Arabidopsis thaliana: one gene and its partners. The protein of the gene in region 1 interacts with the protein of each later gene in a pairwise test. Each region holds a gene or a part of one and is shown in the gene's direction. Other genes may lie near its edges.

Region 1 (6,464 bases):
TACAAAATGACTGGAGAAACAGGAAGCTGTAAGTGTTGTTCTATAGTAAAATCGGAGGTCCTCTGCCTTCTTTTCCTTTCATTTCTTTAACTTCACCTTCTTTGTTTCTCTTCTTCGTGCAACAAAACCAGATCGTTATATGGCTCCTGAAGTATTCAAGCATAGAAGATATGACAAGAAAGTCGATGTCTTCTCCTTTGCAATGATACTTTACGAGGTACTAAGATCTTAACTATAAAACTTCCTTTCTCTACTACAAAAAACAAAACCAAAGTTCAGAAAATCTTAACCTTAATTTCATTACCACATTGTACCCAGATGCTTGAAGGAGAGCCACCATTTGCGAACCATGAGCCATATGAAGCAGCCAAACATGTATCTGATGGACATAGACCTACATTCCGTTCCAAAGGATGCACACCAGATCTAAGAGAGTAAGAAAAATACGAGGCCATATGCACCGGTATTACTCTACCGGTTATCTAACTAATTTTCTCTTTTATAGGTTAATTGTGAAATGCTGGGACGCAGACATGAACCAGAGACCGTCGTTTCTGGACATTCTCAAGAGACTTGAAAAGATCAAGGAAACTCTACCATCAGATCACCATTGGGGCTTATTCACTTCATAATACACAAAATCCATTATTTAAGCACAAAAACAACCAGAAACAAGAAAGTATCATTCTCTGTTTGCCTTATTAATCTCTGTTTCATTTCTTTTGTAAAGATTGTTTCTTTTTCATCTTTTCATTTGCTTTAAAAGAGTGTGAGATAGAAAGCTTTTATTGTTGTTACATGGATTGGATTGAGTTTGCAGGTTAATGAGAAGTTCATATCATATCAGACAGGATAAAATGTCTGTTTCCGAAAAATTCAGTAACAAAATGAAAAATGAGTTCAGTAGTGTATATAAAGCTATAGTCATAGGGTTTTCAATACAATCTCTGCCCTCAGGAGATGGTAATGGTTTTCAGATAAGCTTCTTTTTCTGGAAGAAAGTCTTCAAGTGCCAAAACTGAAGACCTGCGACCGATAAACAAACTGCAAGCGACACGAAACTCAACCATGCCATCTTCGAATTTGTCGCTATGTTCAGATTGTGCATTTCTTCTTCCCTGTAATATACCAAATGAAGAAGGGTTTTGAGTTTTGATTCACTCTCATCCTCTGATCAAGTGACTTCAAGGGAAGACAGGTTTTGTTGTCATTACCTGTCGCGGAGATAGAACATCTCATCGTGGATTCCATTCACGGTTTCAAATAACTTCTTAACCTCAAACTCCATCGTCTGGCCAATAAATAAAACAAGATCCAACCATAACAAGGTTAACAAAACATTCCTTCAAAAACTCTGCAATCTCTTTAAGAGGCTATGTTACATTTCAAGCTAGTCTTGCTCTGTAGTATGTTAAAGCCTAGTCCTATCTACCACATTTCAAGATAGTAATTTTCTGCGTCTGTTAAAGCCTAGTCCTATCCACCTTCATTTAGCAGGGAAAGAACTCCTGAATGAGCTGAAGAAATCGATGGGGTTCAAAGGTGAAACTAATGAAGCTATTTTCTCATATGCAAGACTGCAGACACAGGTCAGTAACACACGAGCCCTGTCAGCTTAATTCATGGCCTTGTTCTAACCAAACCAATGCACCAACATAACCTATAAACCAAGACTACATAGCATTTCTCACTTCAGATATAACTTTCCACTTTCCAGCACTATGTCTTGGTGTAACTTAGGCAGCTATCAAATTCTCACACATCCGGCGCAATGCTCTATTGTTCATGTCATTAGAAGCATCAAAATCTATTTCCTCTAAAGAGATTAGTTTGACTAAGTTAAGACTTCAAGAGTAAAGAAAAAGCGAAAAACTTACTTCGACTTGGCTCTTCTTTGCCACATTCGACCAATCCTTGGTATGAATACCCGTCCTCCAATCAAAGTCAATGATCAGCGTCGTCTCTGGTTTGTGATCGACGGCGGAGAAGCAACTTATGTAATCCCCTGTTTCCACAGCTACAAACGAGAATTGTCCCGATTCTACTCCGTCCGATTCGTGATAAGCCGTCCCTTGTGGCGATGTGACCTTAAAAATCAAACACATTGCATTATACTGAAATCGCCGGAAGAAGAAATTGAAGGGAAATGCGATCCGATCGGATGATTATTACCCTGACGGTGACTTTATGGGAAGAAGGAAGAGGATGATCCTCGTGAGGGTTTATAATGCTGTATTTTCCGATGGTCATTGCGTTTGCGTGAATCTCCTCTGAGATGCATTTCGTGTGCCCAGAAAGTAGCTCGTATCGTATAGAGAGTGTCACGGGAGATAAAATTGAGAGGATCAATAGTACGATCGAGCTCCGACGATGATTCATGACGGCTCCGATATAGAGAGAAATCGATCTGACGGATTTCAAAGTTTAGCTATTTTTCTTGTTAAACGGAAGGAAGGAAACAAAAGAAAGTCAACACGTGCATTGCCACGTGTTAGTATTTCATTCGTTAAAACACGTGGAGTACTACCCTCTGGAATTGGGCTTTAAAATTAAGGCCCATTAATAATGTTGGACCTATATACTTGTAGTGGATCACACTAAAGTAAGTTAGAAGTAAATAAAGAAACAAATAACACATCCAGATTTTATAATTCAAGCATAACTACATATGACTTGGTAATGTTAATTTTAAACTTAATTGGGAAATTTTGTTGAAAAGACAATTGTACTCGAGTTTTTAGTAAAGAATAAAATAGTAATCTTTCCTTGGAAGGGATGTTAATAATGCAACATTGAGGTACGTGTCATGATTTCGTTTCAGTTTTTGTTTTGTTTTACAACAGCTTGAAAATATCTGAATAAAGGAGATGAATATAAACAGTGGTTTGAATCGTGATTAGTGCAATAAATAGATGACAGTAATAAAAAAAGTACGGGAGAACAATTAGGTGAATCCGTTGACGAATGACAACGACTATCAAAAAGGCAAAATGTGTCATCTTTCTTTATATGTTTTTCAATGTTGAATATTCTTGAAATCTTTATTTATCATATGTTTTTCTGATCAATCATTATCCTTGAAACCTATTTTTTTTTTTTTTTGGTTATAGAATAATCTTTGACATTTAATGATATATATAATGAAACAAGTTAGGAAAATTGAAGCTTTCTGAATTAGGAAATAAATTGTGTAAGCAATAGAATGAGTTTCTTGGGAAAACAATAAATAGAAGAAGAAGAAGACACTTTGACGGTTAATTAACTTATTTTCCCATCTCTCACCGTTACCACCTCTTTTTTTTTTTTTTCCGTCTCGTGATTTTTTTTTCTTCTTCTGAATTTCGAAAGAAAAAAAAACTCCTCGAGATTCAAACCATTTGACACAAAGGAGAGAAGAAGCATTTCATTTCGCGTTTGTCATCTAATTTCAATTTCTGACATCTCACAAGATCGGAGAAATTTAGGTTATAGTAATTTTATTCTCATGAAGCGGCGACGACGATCGTCGGAGGAGGGAGATGGAAGTTAGATCGGAGAGTAATATTACTCAGGCGCGAAGCGATAAGCTTCCGCTTCCGCCGGCAGTTCCGAAGCCTCGTGTACAAGTATGGTTCGTTAGAGTTTGCTCCAGCATTTTGGTTTGGACGTGTTTGGTTCAGCTTTTCGCCGCCGGTGAGCTTTGGCATTCCCGGATCTTCACTGGTTTAACCAATCAGATTTCTAGATTCTCAGCCCCTGTTGAGCCAGTTCCATTGCCACCTCCTCTACCTCCTCCGAGTCAGTTTTCTCTCTATTTAGGGGACATTAGGGTTCGTTGGTGCTTGAGAGAGTTTAACGAGATTGTTGATTTTGTGCAGGGAATTATACAAGCAATGGTATTCTACTTGTATCCTGTAATGGTGGATTGAATCAAATGCGATCCGCGGTTGGTGACTTTGCTTTAATTCTCTTTTTCTTCTTCTTTCAGATTTGATGTTTTTCCAAATTCTGATTTTTATGTTGTGTTTCAGATATGTGATATGGTGACTGTTGCTCGGTTATTGAATCTCACTCTCGTTGTTCCAGAGCTTGACAAAACATCTTTCTGGGCTGATCCTAGGTACTCTATCTTTGGTGTTTATAGAATCACTCATGTGTCTTATATGCTTAACATTTTTTAGCAATCTAAAGTATCCTCATTTTTGTTTGCAGTGGTTTTGAGGATATTTTTGATGTGAGACATTTCATTGATTCATTAAGAGATGAAGTTCGGATCTTAAGGAGGCTTCCTAAACGGTTTAGTAGAAAGTATGGATATCAAATGTTCGAAATGCCTCCTGTGAGCTGGTCTGATGAAAAATATTACTTGAAGCAGGTTTGTCTTGTTTATCACTAGTTTTGCTGTTTTGGTTCCTTTGACTATCCTTGTTACAAGATATTACCTAACCATTTGCATATGTGATTGGTTAATTTCTTGTTCAGGTATTGCCTCTCTTCAGCAAGCATAAAGTTGTACACTTCAATAGGACTGATACCCGCCTGGCAAACAATGGTCTTCCGCTCTCTCTCCAGTGGCTCAGGTGCCGGGTGAATTTTCAGGGACTAAAGTTCACTCCACAGCTTGAGGCTTTGGGATCTAAGTTAGTTCGGATTCTACAACAAAGAGGGCCATTTGTGGCTTTGCATCTGAGATATGAGATGGACATGTTAGCTTTCTCTGGCTGCACTCATGGTTGCACTGAGGAAGAAGCGGAAGAGCTAAAAAAGATGAGGTTTCTCTTCAAAAGATTTCTCCTGAATTGGTGCTCTGGTTATAGGTCTTTTTAGTTGTTAATTCATAGGTCCATTCTGTGTTCTTTAGGTACACATATCCCTGGTGGAGAGAGAAGGAGATAGTCTCAGAGGAGAGGAGGGCGCAAGGGCTGTGTCCTTTGACGCCAGAGGAGGTGGCCTTGGTATTAAAAGCGTTGGGATTTGAGAAAAATACACAGATATACATTGCAGCTGGTGAGATTTATGGGAGCGAGCATAGACTATCCGTGTTAAGGGAAGCATTCCCGAGAATTGTGAGTCTACCAGTCCTGGTTTCCCTTTTCTTGCTACAAAGAATGCTCAACTGCATCGTCATTACAATGCACTTTTTCTTATCAGTTTTACTCACCTGTGGTTATAGGTAAAGAAGGAAATGCTATTGGAGTCAGCAGAGCTGCAACAGTTTCAGAACCATTCGTCTCAAATGGCTGCTCTAGATTTCATGGTATCTGTGGCCAGCAACACTTTTATTCCTACGTATGATGGAAACATGGCAAAAGTCGTGGAAGGTCATCGTAGGTAAATTATTTGTGGTGTCGAATGCATTCAATTTCATGACAACTAAAAAGGTGGTGTTAAGAATAACCAAACCTGTGATTCTATATAACCATTATTGGTCTATATCTGATTTGAATTTGCAGATACCTTGGATATAAGAAGACAATCCTGCTTGACCGTAAGAGACTCGTGGAGCTACTAGACTTACATCACAACAAGACCCTCACGTGGGATCAGTTTGCAGTAGCAGTCAAGGAAGCCCATGAGAGACGAGCAGGAGCACCTACTCATCGAAGAGTAATCTCTGACAAACCTAAGGAGGAAGATTACTTCTACGCAAATCCTCAAGAATGTCTTTGTGAAGGTACAAATTGCCACGACCTGTTTGGCCATAGAAATTTAACACATTGAAGTCATGTTTTTAGCATATTATATCTCATTGCTTCCGCAAGAGGACGGCATGTCAAACACTTGAACGGGAGCTGCATAGTTCCTTCCCTGAGTTTTTCCATTTTTGTTTGTAATTTTTTTCAATTTTCCTGCATAGTTGCTGATCTTGATTTATTTAGTTTTACGTAAATTAAGATGTAACTAAAAAGAAGATTATGTCTCATCTTATAGAATTTCAAAAAGCCTGCTTTTGGCAATAGCCTAACATACAAATTGTGGTCTCTCAACTCTGATGTCTTGAGGTTGATTCAAGTCTATGTGGTCTGAGACCAAACCAGTAAAGATTTTCTTTCTAGCCTTGAGTTTGTTCTGCAGGATAAGCTATACAAGCTAAGCTAATTCTCACTTGGTTTCCCAGAAGATAATATCCCCTTGTTCGCCAACCAACCCAAGATCTTTGAGCCTTCTCTCTTGGTAATACTCTAAAATGTCAAGTTCAAGCTCTCTATCCTTGAAGATTTGGTCGATTTGCTGAAGCACTCTCTTCTCACCAATCCTTATCTTGAGAGCCATTTCCAACCTAGGCTCAAGCTTTCCTTTGTCCAGAAGCTTCTCATCCTACAACAGACGATGAAGACGAGTAAGAAATGAGTGTTAAGCTGCAAAGACAGTACAAGTAAGAGCTCGAACATATATACCTCTTCAATGGTCGTATCAAAACCAGACAGAGCAGATTTGCAGGCATCTCTGACAACACGGCATATGAGTTCCTCGTTTGTACGACT
Region 2 (7,499 bases), on another chromosome or scaffold:
TCCTATCGGTCCCTTCTTTTATTGTTTTCTTTAATTTGCTGTTTCTTTTGGTCTTATGAATTTTGAACCATTCTTATGAATCTGAAGGTGAATCGATTCTTCGGTACAGTTTTCTCTCTAGAACATGTAAATCGTTATGTAGTTCCTTAATAAATTGAGAGAAACGAAAAAATGTATTTGAATGTTTTGATCAATGATCGTCATTCGTTTATGGCTTCCAATAGAAAGGTTTGAAGTTTGAATTGGGAAAAGTGTTGTTGGTTCATTACATACTACCCCAAACGATTGATAGTTTCTTCTCTTTACTCGGCTTTAACGGTAACTATATCTTTGGAAAACAGAAAAGTTTTTGAGTGGAATTTTAAAAATGAGTATAGATTATAAAAATAAAGAAATCATGTCAAGCAACCATGATTAACTAAATCATTACTTCCACATATGCTAAACAGCTAATTTACATAAAATTATATTATATTAGCCACAACAAGTTCAATATCCCCTCAAAAAAGAAACAAAATATTGCTTCTCTTTCAAGAAACATAAAATTTGGTTGATAAATAAATTAATTAAACTGGGAAAATAATAAAATTAATTCAAAGTTGATTATATAAACAGAATGATTAAATAAGAAAACGCGACAGACTCCAAAAACGATGTAAACCAAACCAGTCAACCATTTTGACAGCCTTTTCCCCGCCGCCAGAAACGCAAACGCGTTTCTCACACGCGCCCACTAACTTTCAATGATCTCATTACGCGGCGTCAACGCAGACAACGACGTCGGCGAAATCGCCGGAGCTTTACCTGAGTAAACCGGGACAGAAGCGAATCGGGTCGAGAAGCTTCGTAATCCACCTAGTCCGACGTATTCATCCTCCTCGTCGTCGTCATCGAAGTTCAAAGAGTAACTCAAAGGATCGTATTGAAACTTCTCGCTTGCGTCCCAATCGCGGCCGCGTCGTGGATCGCGATTGAATCGACGAATGAAAGTCTTCCACCGTGGACCAGCAACGATTTCTGACCACTCTCGGATCTTCAAGGATGCTCGGATCCACCAACGTGGCTCGTCGCCGTGGTCGCCGCTGTGATTACTGTCATCGACGGTTCGAATTCGTCCCCAGGAGGAGTAACCAACGGCGGTGGAGCTTCTTGATCGGCGGAAGCTGGGGAAACAACAGCAACGTTGATCGTACCGGGTATCAGGATCTCGGGTTGGGTCCGACTGCGAAAGTTCCATGGGCCGAAACTCAGAGAAGTTTTTTCTTGGGTCAAAAGACTCGTGATGATAATATAACTTGATTCAAGTTTTAGCTGTAAAGGATTATGATTGGTCCTATTTATTATATGCACACTTGACACTTGTAATATAAATTAAGAAATTGTTATTTTTTCTATGTTATTATATGCACACTTGACACTTTTACGAATCATGGCTGTAAATATTAAAACCTTAGAAACTCAATTATCGATCAACACGATTGAGAATCATAAAAAGTGTTAAACAATTTCTTAGGCTGGTGAAAACGAGTCTTAGAAAAAATAAATATCTTGAGCTAGAATCCGTTATAAGATAGTTACTTTCCTAACAATGTTTTTAGGAATACACTTGATAAAACAAAATTGATATTTATTATAAAAACTACTATTCACTAAGGGAACGAGTTGAACAAATGTGATCCGGCGGGTACAACAAACTAACATTTCGGATCATAGTACGAGGGGTACAAAGATTGAGCAGATGTCACTGTCTTTGGCATTATCACAATCTCACCATTAGGACTGACACCAGCGATGCAATACCTAATTTCTCAAATATCATCATCTTAGACCATTCTTGTTGCTCAATATGATCTTCCATAATCCACATCTCTGCACTAGCTTTGGTGTAACGTATGCATCCTAATTTTCCTTGGTAGTTTACCAAAGTCAATTCATCGAAACTCACTTCACTGAGCTGCTGATTCATCTGCAGAGTTATGGGCATCTGAATACGATCAAAGCTTTCGTGTCTAACGTCGAACCTCACTAGCTCATAGAATTCGGGATCATCCCAGCTTTCTACATGTGCTATGTAATAGATAAACTCTTTGATACATAAACCACTACTCCTAGCTTCTGGAGAGTGATTCCAAATGCCTTGGATGTCAAGGCTCCTCCATTGCTGCTTCATTGGACCTCCCACTAATGTGAAAACTTGTTTCTCAACTGGATCATATCCGAACAATCCATCACACGAGTTGCTCCATCTATCGTGTTTTACCTCCGGTAATAAAATCGTTTTCCTATTGGTATGTTTATAGATCGAGCTTGACCAACAACAGAAGAGTCCTCGAAAATTATTGATACTTAAAATCCCAACTTCGCCCATGGTTTAATGTATAATTACTGTCTTTGTCTGGGTATATGAATGATATATCATTAGTAGGATAAGTAGAGGGCGAGAATAATGACCGAGTCATGATCAAGAGGGTGATACGAGATGACCACAGCTTCGATACACATTGGAACCTCACAAGTGACTTAACAGGGAGTCTCGAGAGTATATCGGTTATTACATCGAAAGGGATATGTATACCGTTTGAATTTTCTCTCTCGGAGATTTCGTTCTGACGTTGTTGTCGTCGTTTTGGAGATCGTGAGGTCTTCTTCTCTTGGCGTCCTCTCTTCATGGTGTCAGTTTTCTATTTCATTAAACTTGAACGAAGAAAAACACATATATATTTTTGGTTTTTGACATTTTTTGGGGGTTTATGACATTTGTTTTTTTGGATATTTTCTATATATTGGCAATACAAAAGAGTTTATAAGCTAAGCAGCCCAGTTTCATGTCCCATTAGGTTTTAGATCTCAAGTCTTAACCGACCTACATTTAAAGGGAAAACATTAAGAAACAATGAGAGATTAATTTAGTATTTTCGATTGATGCGCCTCACACTGAAACCTGAGGCTTGTGTGTTCTGTTTCTCTTCATCTTGATTCAATTCGTTTGCAGTTTCGTAGCTTGATGAGAAAGGAATATTAAGTGATTCATATATAGCAAAGTGTTTACATAGTAAACCTAAAAAGAGAGTAAAACTAAAATCTCTTCTCTTTATTCATCAATACAAGTTGCTATTAACAAAGTTTTTGGTTACAGCACATATTCACTTGCTTTGTATTATTGTATATACTATACAAGATGCTCTACACAACATTTACTATGACATGAATATGAGACAACAAACTCTTTATACATAATGAAGATGTAGTAATAGTAAATGTAATTATGTTTGAGAAAGAGAAAGAGAGAGAGAGAGAGAGACAGAGGTATTAATGTGAGTGAAGAGCCGGGTGTTTCTCATGCATGGGGTACGAGCGGAGTCAACGGCTTCATGGCTCAAATTTGAAACCACGTGTCATGCGTTTGTTACTCTACCCAGATTCTGCTGATTCACAGACTCACTATTAAAATCCACTTTTTCTTTTTTCTCTGTTCATAAAGCAGAAACCAAAAATAATCCAAATATCAAAAAACCAAAAACAGAACCTAGAAACCACACCAAAAAAAAAAAAGCTATTTCATCAAACAAACAAAACTCACATCACAAATCAGAAACAAACAAAAAAGAAACGCAGTACTAAAGAAAAAAATTATAAACAAGAATCATCGAAAAGAAGAATCGAAATCATCAACATATTTTGTTTCTCTTCTTCTTTTATTTTTATAAAATATAAATTAGTTCTTTGATAAAATCTGTAGAAGATAAAGAATTCTTCTTTAGAAACAAAGAAAAATGACGGACCCCCACACCGCCCGGACGATCGTCGGAATCGTTGGTAAGTCCTCCACAATTTACTCAAACATAAAGTTTAATTCAATCAACAACAAAAACATTTGCTCATGTCTTTGTTTGTCTGTTATATGTTTAGGAAACGTGATTTCTTTCGGCTTGTTCTGCGCTCCAATGTAAGCACACATGATGATTAAATCTTTTTTTGTTTTGTTGCATGCAATGACATATGTGAAAATTGTGCAGACCAACGATGGTGAAGATATGGAAGATGAAATCGGTCTCCGAGTTTAAGCCAGATCCATACGTAGCTACGGTTTTAAACTGCATGATGTGGACATTTTACGGACTTCCTTTCGTCCAGCCCGACAGTCTCCTCGTCATCACCATTAATGGAACTGGTCTTTTCATGGAACTCGTTTACGTCACCATCTTCTTTGTCTTCGCTACCTCCCCTGTCCGCGTAAGCCTTTAAAACCTCTAATTTCAACACGAATGATAAAAATATGTATATGCATTCTAAATTATTCAATTTATATAAACTTTTCAGACATAGGTTTGATAGCCTTTAAACCAATTGAAAATTAGTGAATTAGTGGTTGATGTTTGTTTTAGTTTGTTACTTCAAATGTAGATCGATATAGATTTTGATATGTGAAGTTATGATATATATATATGTGTACAGAGAAAGATCACAATAGCTATGGTTATCGAGGTAATATTCATGGCGGTGGTGATCTTCTGCACAATGTATTTTTTGCATACAACAAAGCAGAGATCAATGCTTATTGGGATCTTGTGCATTGTTTTCAACGTCATCATGTATGCTGCTCCTCTCACCGTCATGGTATGATGCCTCTTCTTTCTAAACTAATCACGGAAATGCAAAAATTGGATACTACACTATCAACTTTTTTCTTTTGTTCTCTTTATCTCGTGAATTTCCATTTAATGAGTTTAGTTATAATGTGGAACAGAAACTTGTGATAAAGACAAAGAGCGTGAAATACATGCCGTTCTTCCTATCATTAGCCAACTTCATGAACGGTGTCGTTTGGGTCATTTATGCATGTCTTAAATTTGACCCTTATATTTTGGTAAACCCTCATATATATCTTTATTGTTTGGAACTCAAATCCCTACATCTCAAAAAGGACTAATTATCTTCCATGCATGAAAACAGATTCCAAATGGTCTTGGATCGCTATCAGGAATAATCCAGCTTATAATATACATAACTTACTATAAAACAACTAACTGGAACGATGACGATGAAGATAAAGAAAAGCGCTATTCGAATGCTGGAATCGAACTTGGCCAGGCTTGATAGTTTCAGCTATTTCATCGTCTACGGTGCTTCATCGATAGGTTAAGATAGAATCAGAAGTGAGGTGAAGTTCTTATTACTATTATTTTGTGTAAGCCTATGTAGAAAAAAAATGAACAAGTGGAACCCTTAAGTTATGAAGTTTCTTGTGTATGAAGAAATGGGTTTTCAGTTTTTTTTTTTGGAAATGATTGTAACTTTCGCAAGTTGAATCTATGTACGTTGTTACAATTTTAGTTTTAATCGAAGTTTATTAGATTACTTTTATAACATTTTCTTTTTTGGAAACTGTAAGGAAAGAAACAAATTTGTCCTCTTAAGAGCAGAGTAATAAACAGAGTTTCTCTCTTGTTTTAGGTTTTTTTTTTGGTCCTGACCGGTTAAGAATATTTCCGAGAAAGTTACCGGTTTAGCTGATTCGATTTTAAAAACGAACCCATAATCTAAACCGGAATGTGCGATTCACAATTGTGGTTTTGTAACCTTAAAACACGGAGGACCAGAGATACCGTTTGAGATGACGATTGAATTATGTTATCATCATCACCGGCGGTCACCACCGCCTCACACTTACATCCTCCTCCGTCGCCGGAAACCTACCAAATTCCTCTGAATTTACTTTCCTCGCCGCATATTACCCGCCGAGACCTTTTCAAAACTCTCTCCGTATGTATTGCCACACCATCACTCTCCGTCTCCATCGCCGCACCAGCTAACGCACGCGGTCTCTTTCAAATGCCGCCTCTCCGGCTCTCTAATCGGTAATTTACTTTTTCAAAACCCTAGTTTTGAGTTTCTGTGCATACAACCAGATGTGCATCAATGTATACGTATCTTCGTCCTTTTGATTGGAACTAAGTTTAAAGGATCTTGTAAAGCTTTAGTAGATTAGTGAGATTCCAAATTCTTCACATTGAACTGTTAAGAGTGAATCTCTGACTTTTAACATTTTGATTCTTGTTCTTGATTCGTTTCCGGAGTTATTTAGCCTGGTTATCTTAGAAAATGGAGCTAATAATACACAATGTGTTTTTGGTTGTTGTTTTTTCTTGGATCAAGTTATTACCTTGTGAGAGCTGGGGAATCAGATTACGAAAGCTTAGGGATAATCAACACAAACCCGGTTGCCAAAACATCGGTAGATAGCGGATTATCAGAGAAAGGTAAGAAGCAGACTCTGAGAGCTGCGTTACAGTTAAAAGCAATGGGAGCTTGTGACCGAAACTGTTGGCTCTGGCCTTCCATAACACAGAGAGCTTATCAGGCTGCTGAAATCATCGCCGCCATCAATGGAATTAGTCGCAGGTAAAATCGTCCATTAGTCTTCTTACTCTTTAGTGAGGTTTTAGCTGTGGAATCTAATCTTTGTGATGGTACGCTGAATGTTTTATGTTCACTTGGTTTTCGCAGCTATATAGTTCCGGAGTATAGCTTCCTTGATGCTCGTGGTTTAGGAGCTTACGAAGGCAAGAAGCTTGAATCTATATCAGAAGTAAGATTTTAGCATTTTTCACATTAAAACATACAAACAAAAACTCGGGTTGAAGTATGAAAGTTTCAACTTCTGTGCAGGTGTATGCATTAGACTCAATATCGATGAAGACAAAACCTCCTCCTATAAGCGACGGTACCCCCAACGAGAGTGTATCAGATGTATTTGTGCGTGTGACGCAACTCATGTCTATTCTCGAGACTCAATACTCAGAAGACACAATCGTGATTGTTTCGCCTGATTCAGACAACTTATCGGTGTTACAAGCTGGTATCCAAGGACTCGACCTTCGAAGGCACTCGGAGTTGTATTTTGGACCAGGAGAAGTAAGATTGTTGGATGCAAACAGCATTCCAGTGTATAAGCAACCTGCTTCTGCCGTATATAAGTGTAAGAAACCACCAAACTGTGACTAAAAACATTTTATCCTCAGTATCTATGTATTGTTATTATTCAAATACAATTTTGAAGCTTAGTTTTAGATTTCAATGCAAGTGTTAGTACATATAATCATAATGATAATAGGCCGTATATTTCTAATTGCTTTCTTAAATGTTTTTTTCAAGAAACTCATATTAAGTTGTAGTGTTTTTGTTTCTAAAAAAAACTTCAACTAGTTCATTTGATAAAAGTTTGTTCTTACGAAAAATAAATATTCTACAAAATTCGGTAAAGATTTCACAAAAAAATATTTCGTGCAACCCTTCTTGAATTTAATGAAATCTTTCCTAAATTTTATAAAATTCGTTCTAAATTTAAGAAAATAATTTATTGAAAGATTTCACAAAATTTAGGAAAGATTCTACAAAATTCAGGAAGGATTTCATGAAATTCATGAAAGGTTACAAATCTTATGTTATTCACTCATTAATTTTAAAAATTCTAATGAAATCTACTGTTATTGTATTAA
Region 3 (7,546 bases), on another chromosome or scaffold:
TCTTCATAGAAATCTCAAGAAACAATTTACTCTTCTCTATGAAAACTCTTCTGGTATGTCAGTCATATACAAATTTAAATTGGAAGATGATTTAAAACTCACATATGTTTCTTGACCAGAACTAAACCAATGTACACCGGATTCTGCAAACAAATGTATGAGAGGTGGAACACGGATTGAATCATAAGATAAGTCAGTTAAATCCAAATTCAAACTGGAGGATAAGTATTATATCTTTCTGAACCAGATCAAACCAGATTTTGCAAACAATATGGAATCTTTCTCATTTTCTTGGGTGAAGACCAGATTATTATTACAAAGGTGAAACAAGAATGATTGTCAAATCTATGAAACTGCAACTAATTGGTTACAGAAAGGTAATGTAGTTTTGAAAATGAGAATATGAACAAGGATGATATAGTAGTAAATCCAAAAGAAGCTTTCTAGAGAAACTGATATTGGAAATCGCTCATGCAGGAGCCAGTTTCACTCCAAGAAGATGAACTGCAGCATCTGATCTTCTTGTGTTGCGGTATGTGAAACTTGGGATCTCGTGGTGCAGTTGGATGTTTGCTCGACCTTTTAATGGTAAAAGAAAACAACAAGAAGCAACTGTGTCAGCTTTTGCAATGACGTTCATTGTTATAAGAAAGTTTACTCTATTAGTTGGTCTGTGAAAACTATATTGAAAACATATTTCTCACTTGAAAACAATATCTATATTACCTATCATGCTCTCATAATAAGAAAGATTCAAGAGGATAGTATTTATGTACCAGTCTTTTACCTTCTTGGAATGAATGGTCGATCAAAGTATGGCATTGGTTGTGCTTTTGGGACCAATTCTTTCCTCAGCCTTCTTATCTCTTCTTCCTCTGCCAACTAAAAACAATATTGGATTTATCAAAATCAGTTAAAGCAAAACTCTATTATCGGATATGGCCACAACATCTCATATTAAAGTTTACCTTCTGTTGTCTTTCTCTTTCCATTTTGTATTGCTCAATGAAGCTCATCTTCTCGGCAACCTAGAACAACAAAAATTCAGACTTTAACATGAAGAAATTTATGGAACAATGCAAAGTTACTATAGACAAGTCAACCTTGGCTACAGACTACAATACACACTATTTGACACTATCAGCTATTTTCCTTTCCGTCTCAAGTCTTAACACAACCAGCTGATAAGAAAACAAGTATACTCTAAATGATTTGACAGAATGAAATGGTTACTGAAGCCAAATCATGTCAGCGGCTATGTTTTAAGGTATCTTGAACTTCAAGCCCAACAAAATGTAGATTTAATCATTGCATTAGCAAGGTTACCTGGTAATCAAATTCTGCGCGTTCAACTGCCCGGACATCTGAGTGGAGCGTCAAGTCGACTGGTCTTGTAATGTCTTTCCAATGAGGCTTCACTAGGCACTGAAACAGAAAACAACATTAGAACTTTTCATAGTCAACAAGACATCATCTCTCACTATTGTTACTACTAGAGCTTACAAGATCAATTGAGATGTTAATAGGAAAGCAGAACATGCTTACCTCAGGTTCATCGGTTGTCCATGGAAGACCTTGAGCAATGGGGATTCTCATCTTTTCTTCCTCCATTGTTATTTCGTGTATCTTTTTTGCTAACTCTTCCTCTTTCACTTTACCTCTTTGCTGCAGAGAGACAAAAGACCAACCAACTGTCATGACTCAATTTCCACCATAAAATTCGAAATTTTTCTTTAGTTTTAATCTAAAGAAACTCATACCTCAGTTCTAAGCTTAAACGGCTTCAATGAAGTGACCTTAACCTGCTTCTTCTTTGATCTTCTACTTCCCATTGTAGTCGATGACTCCATGCTCTGCCATAAACAGAAATATCAAAATGATTATTAAACTATACTGACATACTAAGCAAGACAGACAACCATTAAACAGCTAAGAAAATTCAGATGCTGCATGCAGGACACTTACATTTCTTCTACTTCTCCTGCCAGCATTTGAACTTCCACTCAAAACACTGAAACATCACAATATCAAACTATTCAGAACAAGACAAGTTCATAATTTCAGTGAGATCTCTTAGTCAACAACAAACTAACCTGCCACGGGTGCTGTCCCAGGACGAAGAAATCGAAGCATTGGGGTCTAAACCCAGATTCTTAGCTGTTAAGACCATTTCAGATGGACAAAACGAAGAACTCCATGGGTTTTTCTCTTTCTCACCCTCCAAGAATTCCAATTTCACAGGTTTCTTCGTATCCTCTTCGGTTTGATTCTCTTCTATCTTGTTGGCAGTCTTTGAATTACTAAAGCAAGTGAGTTTCTCAAATGCTTCTACAAGATTCATCACTTTACCAGATACAGGCACACTTTGCCGTGCTTCTTCCACCACCTTAGCTCTTGATCTCTTCATTGTGGAAACGCCTGTTTTCTCCGGTTCTCCAGATTCTTTTCCTTCTAGTTCATCGCCATTTCCGAGATTACAGCATTCCTCCAAAGCTTCCTTATCCTCCTCTGATTCAATTCGATTTTTGAAGAACTCCTCTTGCGAAGCACGCAGAGTTTCATATGCAACACAAACACACTTCATGTTCCCCTTCTTCCTCTCTCCGCATTTACAATCTATCTCAGCTGCCTTGGATTCTGTAATCGCTGGCTCCTTCTTCCCTTTCCTCGAATTCTTCTTCGCCACCACAACAAACTTCCTCTCTCTGATCCGATTCCGGGGAGAGAAAACCGCCTGGGTAGGTTTAGGGCTCGGACTCGGATTCTTCTGCGCTGATTTCTTCGCAGATTTCATGAGCGGTGATTTAGAAGGACTCGCTTGTGAAATGTTAGGGTTTGCATTCTCCGATGATCTGGAAATCTTTTGATTGGACTGAAACTTGCTCCGATCCTTCACCGGAGTCCCTGCTTTCCCATTCTTCAATGTCAACGACTCCATCGAAGATAACAGAATCTGGAATCAAGAGAGTAACACGAACAGTAATCGATCTAGATTTGAGAATCTCTCCAACAAAAAAAAAATTGATCGGAGGTGAAGAATTAGGGTTTGTTCTTGCTATGGAGTATTGTAAATCGAATAAGAAGATAGATTTGGGGGAAAAATGTGACCGTTGCGGCGCTCTTTGGACGCTCTCTAATAACGGCTAGTCTTTTTGGTGCTTTTTTAATAAATAAACTTAGATTAGTAATAAATAATTATTTTCCTAATCTTGTCCGTTAGATTGTCAAATTAATGATTATGATGATTTTAATCCACGTTTAATGCCACGTCACATCCGAATTTCAACACTTTAGCAGCGAGTTATTTTGTACAATCTTAGCCATTAGATCAAATAGATGCTGGAGCCGATATGATCCACGTTGTACTCCATGTCACATCAAATTTTCAGACAATAATTCTTATTTATCTAATATCAACCGTTGGATTAAATGATCAGATACTGACGTGTCCACGTATACTGCCACGTCACCTATAATTTCCCACTCTTTTCCTTTTTTTGGGAACTTCCTTCATTCACAAACGAGTTATCATTTCGTAGCCAATTAAGTTTCATCATCATATTTAATCACCAAAAATATAATTCGCATCGTCGTTCTGTTCTCTTGAGTCACTAATGGACCAAAGATCATTAGAAGCTGCTGCTAAATCTGGAAACATCGATCTACTATACGAACTAATCCATGAAGATCCATACGTTCTTGATAAAACCGACCACGTGCCCTTCGTTAATACTCCTCTCCATGTGGCAGCCGTCAATGGAAAAACAGAGTTTGCCATGGAAATGATGAACTTGAAACCATCTTTTGCTCGGAAACTTAACGCCGACGGACTTACACCGTTACACCTCGCCGTGGAACACGGTCACTTCTGGTTAGTACTTGAAGTAGTTAAGGTTGATCCAAGTCTTGTTCGTATTAAAGGGAGACATGGTACGTACACTCACTTATTTTGTTGAACCCTTAATTATGTTTCTTAGTTTTTTCCAAAAGCTTTAGCTCTAATCAATCCGAACTAATGTTATAATATGTATCTAGTAAATTCAAATCTTGGAGATAGTATTGAAGTAGGACGAACAGTCCATTGAATACTAGTTTGAATTCAGTCTATTGTTGCTTTTGACTAGTCATTATGTCGATATTGTATGGTCAGATCATGAACTAGATTGGTTATACCAGGAGTGTTTAATTCATTTTTCTTGTCCAAAAAAGGTATGACGCCATTGCTAGTTGCGGTAAGTAGAAAGAAGATTGATCTGATGTCAGAATTCTTCTTGGGTTGTCCCGAAAGCATTGTGGACGCAAATGTGAACGGAGAAAACGCTCTTCACATCGCCGTGAATAACTACGACCAAAGAGAAGGATTAAGCGTTCTTAAAGTTCTCATGGGATGGATCTTAAGATTGTGTCAAAAAGATGCAGAGTGGATCGAGACAAGAGTCATAAACCGAAGAGACAAAGACGGTAACACGCCTTTACATCTCGCGGCGTACGAGATCAATCGTCAAGCTATGAAATTGTTGTTAGAGAGCTCCAAGATTAACGTCAACATTGAGAACAAGAACGGTTTAACCGTGTTCGACATTGCTGTGTTACACAATAACAGAGAGATAGAGAGAATGGTTAAGAGACATGGTGGAAAACGTTCGGTTTCTCTTGTCAAGATTAAGACAACATCGGATATACTCGCGTCGCAGCTTTCTTGGAGAGAATCGAGACGGACGAAGAAGATTCGGTTTTATTCTTGGATCTCTGAAGAGAGAAGAAACGCTCTTTTAGTGGTCGCAACTCTCATCGTCACAGCTACATATCAGACGGTTCTCCAACCTCCCGGAGGCGTGTCTGATGGCGGTGGTCAAAAGAGTGGAACAAGCGGTCCGAAAGCGGGTTCAGTGGTTATGGACGAGGTCTACTTTATCTGGTTATGGTTGTGGAACAGTGCGGGGTTCTGCTTTGCGATTGAGATGATGATACGTTTGTTGAGTTTAGGACAAGAGAGTATGTTTTGGTATTACCCTCTGTTCGTTCCTATGGTCTTGGCTTACTCTGTTGCAGGGGATGTGATCAAGCCGAACGCAAGAGCGTACACGATCGCAGGTGTGGGTGCGATCGTGGTTCTTATAATTTGGGGATTGGTAGTTTGGTTTTGGGAATGGGTGCAGTCTAAGAGAACCAAGCAACGTGGACCCAAGAGTGGATTGGTTTGGGAAGGTTTCACTACGTTGGATCAAGCTAGAGGTGTTGCGCCTAATCGGTATGTGATTAGGTAATCTTAATTTCCTCTTGTTATTTTATTGTTGCTTTTGTATTTTTATTCTATAATGTGTAAAATCTCTACTCGGGGTAAACCTATTTACATGAAATATCTGTTTATTATTTGCTTCTAATATTTACTCTACGTGATATGATGTGCATAAAAAGACTACATGATTGACAAGAGTATACGTTGCTAGAAAGTGGAAGGTGTCGTATGACGCATTCTAATTCGAATGTAAATTAGTAAAATAATTACTGAATCTACAAAAATCATGATTTTGAGGTTTTATGGTCACAGTTAAAGTAACATGGCAAACTTGTATACGAATCAAAAAAATATTGAACCATGTTATATTTGAATTCTTTTTCAATATATTTGGTTTCGATTTATATTTTTCTAAAACTATATATAGCTTTAATATTAAAATTTCAACCGCACTCTTCTTTTTATTAGTTATTTATATAATTATGCAAATATAGCTTGAGAAGCACTTCAAAAAGTGTGACTGAGTTTTTAAGCAAAGTGCAGTTAGTCTTTTGTCTGAAGTTTGTCCTGCAGACCTCACCACACAATCACTTAAGTACTCATATATACAAAATGGTTTTATAATAATAGATTAACATGTACATTATTGAAACTAAACACCAAACTTTGGGAAGTATATTATTACTATGAATGGACATTGACGCACAGAAAAGGATTCAAACCAATAATGTATATTCCTTGTTAATATTTCTCAAATTAAATAATATATTTTGCTGGTAAGAAATATGTCTATATATATATATAATATTGTTTAGTAGGTGAACAAATAATATATACATAGCTATTTTTGTTTTGAAGCATCAATTACCTCAAGAGAAAATTTAATAAGTGGAAAAAGTCAGAAAAATATGAATCCATAATATAAGTGATTAAGTGTAAAGGTTGGGGAAAAAACGCTAAAGAGATACAAATTGTCCAAAAAAACAATTAAAAAGGTACTTCCTTTTTTTATATTGTGGAGATTGGTAAGTCAGTTATATTTTCTTCAATGAAAGTAAACAATAGACAGGCAATAAATGAATTTATTTAGTTTCCAATATAAAATTTGAATATGTTTTAATATACAAAATAGTAACAATCCATAAAAGAAATATATATTTATATATAATTTACAGTTTATTTTGTTGACTGATACAAACATTTTTCATGTTTTTTTGGCAAATACGATAAAGTGTATTTAAGTTGGTCGAAATCCAATCAATGGAAATATGTCAAATGTTTAACGTGTCTTGAAGACTTTTTACAAAAACCTGCCAAATATTGTGAGCCCATCGTTTTTTCTACCTATGTCATTCAATTTTTAACTGATAGTGTTTTGTTAAATTTAATTAAGCAATACTAATAAATACTAAGACTTTTAAACAAAAACCTGCCAAATATTTTGAGCCCATCGTTTTTTCTACCTGTACATCATTTAATTTTTAACTGAAAGTGTTTTGTTTAATTTAATTAAGCAATAATAATAAATAAGTAACCAAAAACACTTTAATATCTTTGACGGTTTCAAGGGCAATTTAGGAATCTCATGACCTATATAAACTCCATACTCACCCCGCTATTCTTCTCCATCGTCAGATTTAGCGATTTCACCTCCATTTTCTTCGATCAGTGCTAGAACCAGAGCCTACCTAGCTCGCACCTTAAGGTATCATCAAATTCTAGCTTCTCTCTTTCTTAATCCGTGTCACGATCCAGTTTTGTGTTTAATCGCGATCCGATCTCGGGCTTTATCTCCTGTTTCGATTTGGATCTACTTTGGTTGGTTTAATTTTCATATAGATTTGGTTTTTGAATGTTTGTGTGTTTATTAACCTTCTTCTGTGATTATATTGAGAGTTAACAATTTTCTGCATTCAGGCTCGATCTGTGTCGGTGATCCGTAGAAAATTCACGTAATTTCATTTCTCATTTTACGTTATTCCCAATTCCTGAACCGGGTTCTGTTGCATGTACCAGATCTGAGATTTTGATTTGAATTTCTTGCAGTATGTGTATATTTTTCGTTGAATTTCGGATTGTTAAGCATGATCATGAGTATATGATCTCTGAATTGGTTGCTTCACCTAACATTTGGGTCATGTTTACGTTAACGTATTCTCTGTGTATCCTTTTACTCTTACGAAACCGGATCTGAGTTTTTGAAAATTGTTAAAGTTTAGTTTTTGCTTATTGTAGATTCTCCTTTTGAATGCTTTTAACTTTATTTTGCATATCAATTTCTTCTCTACAATGCTTGAATTGTTGGAT

What was found. The genes of interacting proteins can lie anywhere in the genome.
Region 2: the proteins of AT1G14020 (region 1) and AtVEX1 interact in a protein complementation assay, tested with the Arabidopsis thaliana proteins (one large-scale study listed by BioGRID).
Region 3: the proteins of AT1G14020 (region 1) and AT5G15500 interact in a protein complementation assay, tested with the Arabidopsis thaliana proteins (one large-scale study listed by BioGRID).

The regions. Positions count from the first base shown.
Region 1 is NC_003070.9:4,799,412-4,805,875, forward strand, and holds AT1G14020 (O-fucosyltransferase family protein), read left to right. Parts: upstream 1-3,308; 5' UTR 3,309-3,518; coding exon 3,519-3,777; intron 3,778-3,857; coding exon 3,858-3,925; intron 3,926-4,010; coding exon 4,011-4,099; intron 4,100-4,191; coding exon 4,192-4,354; intron 4,355-4,461; coding exon 4,462-4,751; intron 4,752-4,840; coding exon 4,841-5,045; intron 5,046-5,152; coding exon 5,153-5,310; intron 5,311-5,432; coding exon 5,433-5,700; 3' UTR 5,701-5,964; downstream 5,965-6,464. Other genes in the region: VIK (VH1-interacting kinase), read left to right, coding at 1-28, 132-217, 319-434, 506-632; AT1G14010 (emp24/gp25L/p24 family/GOLD family protein), read right to left, coding at 974-1,118, 1,215-1,291, 1,878-2,087, 2,173-2,379; LSMT-L (Rubisco methyltransferase family protein), read right to left, coding at 6,082-6,297, 6,378-6,464. UniProt on the Arabidopsis thaliana protein: Glycosyltransferase involved in the formation of rhamnogalacturonan I (RG-I) oligosaccharides in the seed coat mucilage, which is a specialized cell wall with abundant RG-I. Transfers the rhamnose residue from UDP-beta-L-rhamnose to RG-I oligosaccharides.
Region 2 is NC_003076.8:25,227,802-25,235,300, reverse strand, and holds AtVEX1 (Nodulin MtN3 family protein), read left to right. Parts: upstream 1-3,456; 5' UTR 3,457-3,773; coding exon 3,774-3,816; intron 3,817-3,909; coding exon 3,910-3,946; intron 3,947-4,016; coding exon 4,017-4,233; intron 4,234-4,455; coding exon 4,456-4,617; intron 4,618-4,633; exon of another isoform or gene 4,634-4,733; intron 4,734-4,747; coding exon 4,748-4,867; coding exon of another isoform or gene 4,868-4,930; exon of another isoform or gene 4,931-4,953; coding exon 4,954-5,097; 3' UTR 5,098-5,363; downstream 5,364-7,499. Other genes in the region: AT5G62865 (uncharacterized protein), read right to left, coding at 734-1,237; AT5G62860 (F-box associated ubiquitination effector family protein), read right to left, coding at 1,760-2,260, 2,514-2,669; AT5G62840 (Phosphoglycerate mutase family protein), read left to right, coding at 5,629-5,858, 6,157-6,402, 6,508-6,589, 6,670-7,005. UniProt on the Arabidopsis thaliana protein: Mediates both low-affinity uptake and efflux of sugar across the plasma membrane. May play roles in nurturing the male gametophyte.
Region 3 is NC_003076.8:5,029,512-5,037,057, reverse strand, and holds AT5G15500 (Ankyrin repeat family protein), read left to right. Parts: upstream 1-3,517; 5' UTR 3,518-3,614; coding exon 3,615-3,930; exon of another isoform or gene 3,931-4,209; coding exon 4,210-5,267; 3' UTR 5,268-5,410; downstream 5,411-7,546. Other genes in the region: AT5G15510 (TPX2 (targeting protein for Xklp2) protein family), read right to left, coding at 470-671, 788-882, 969-1,028, 1,327-1,425, 1,546-1,665, 1,761-1,853, 1,966-2,011, 2,094-2,938.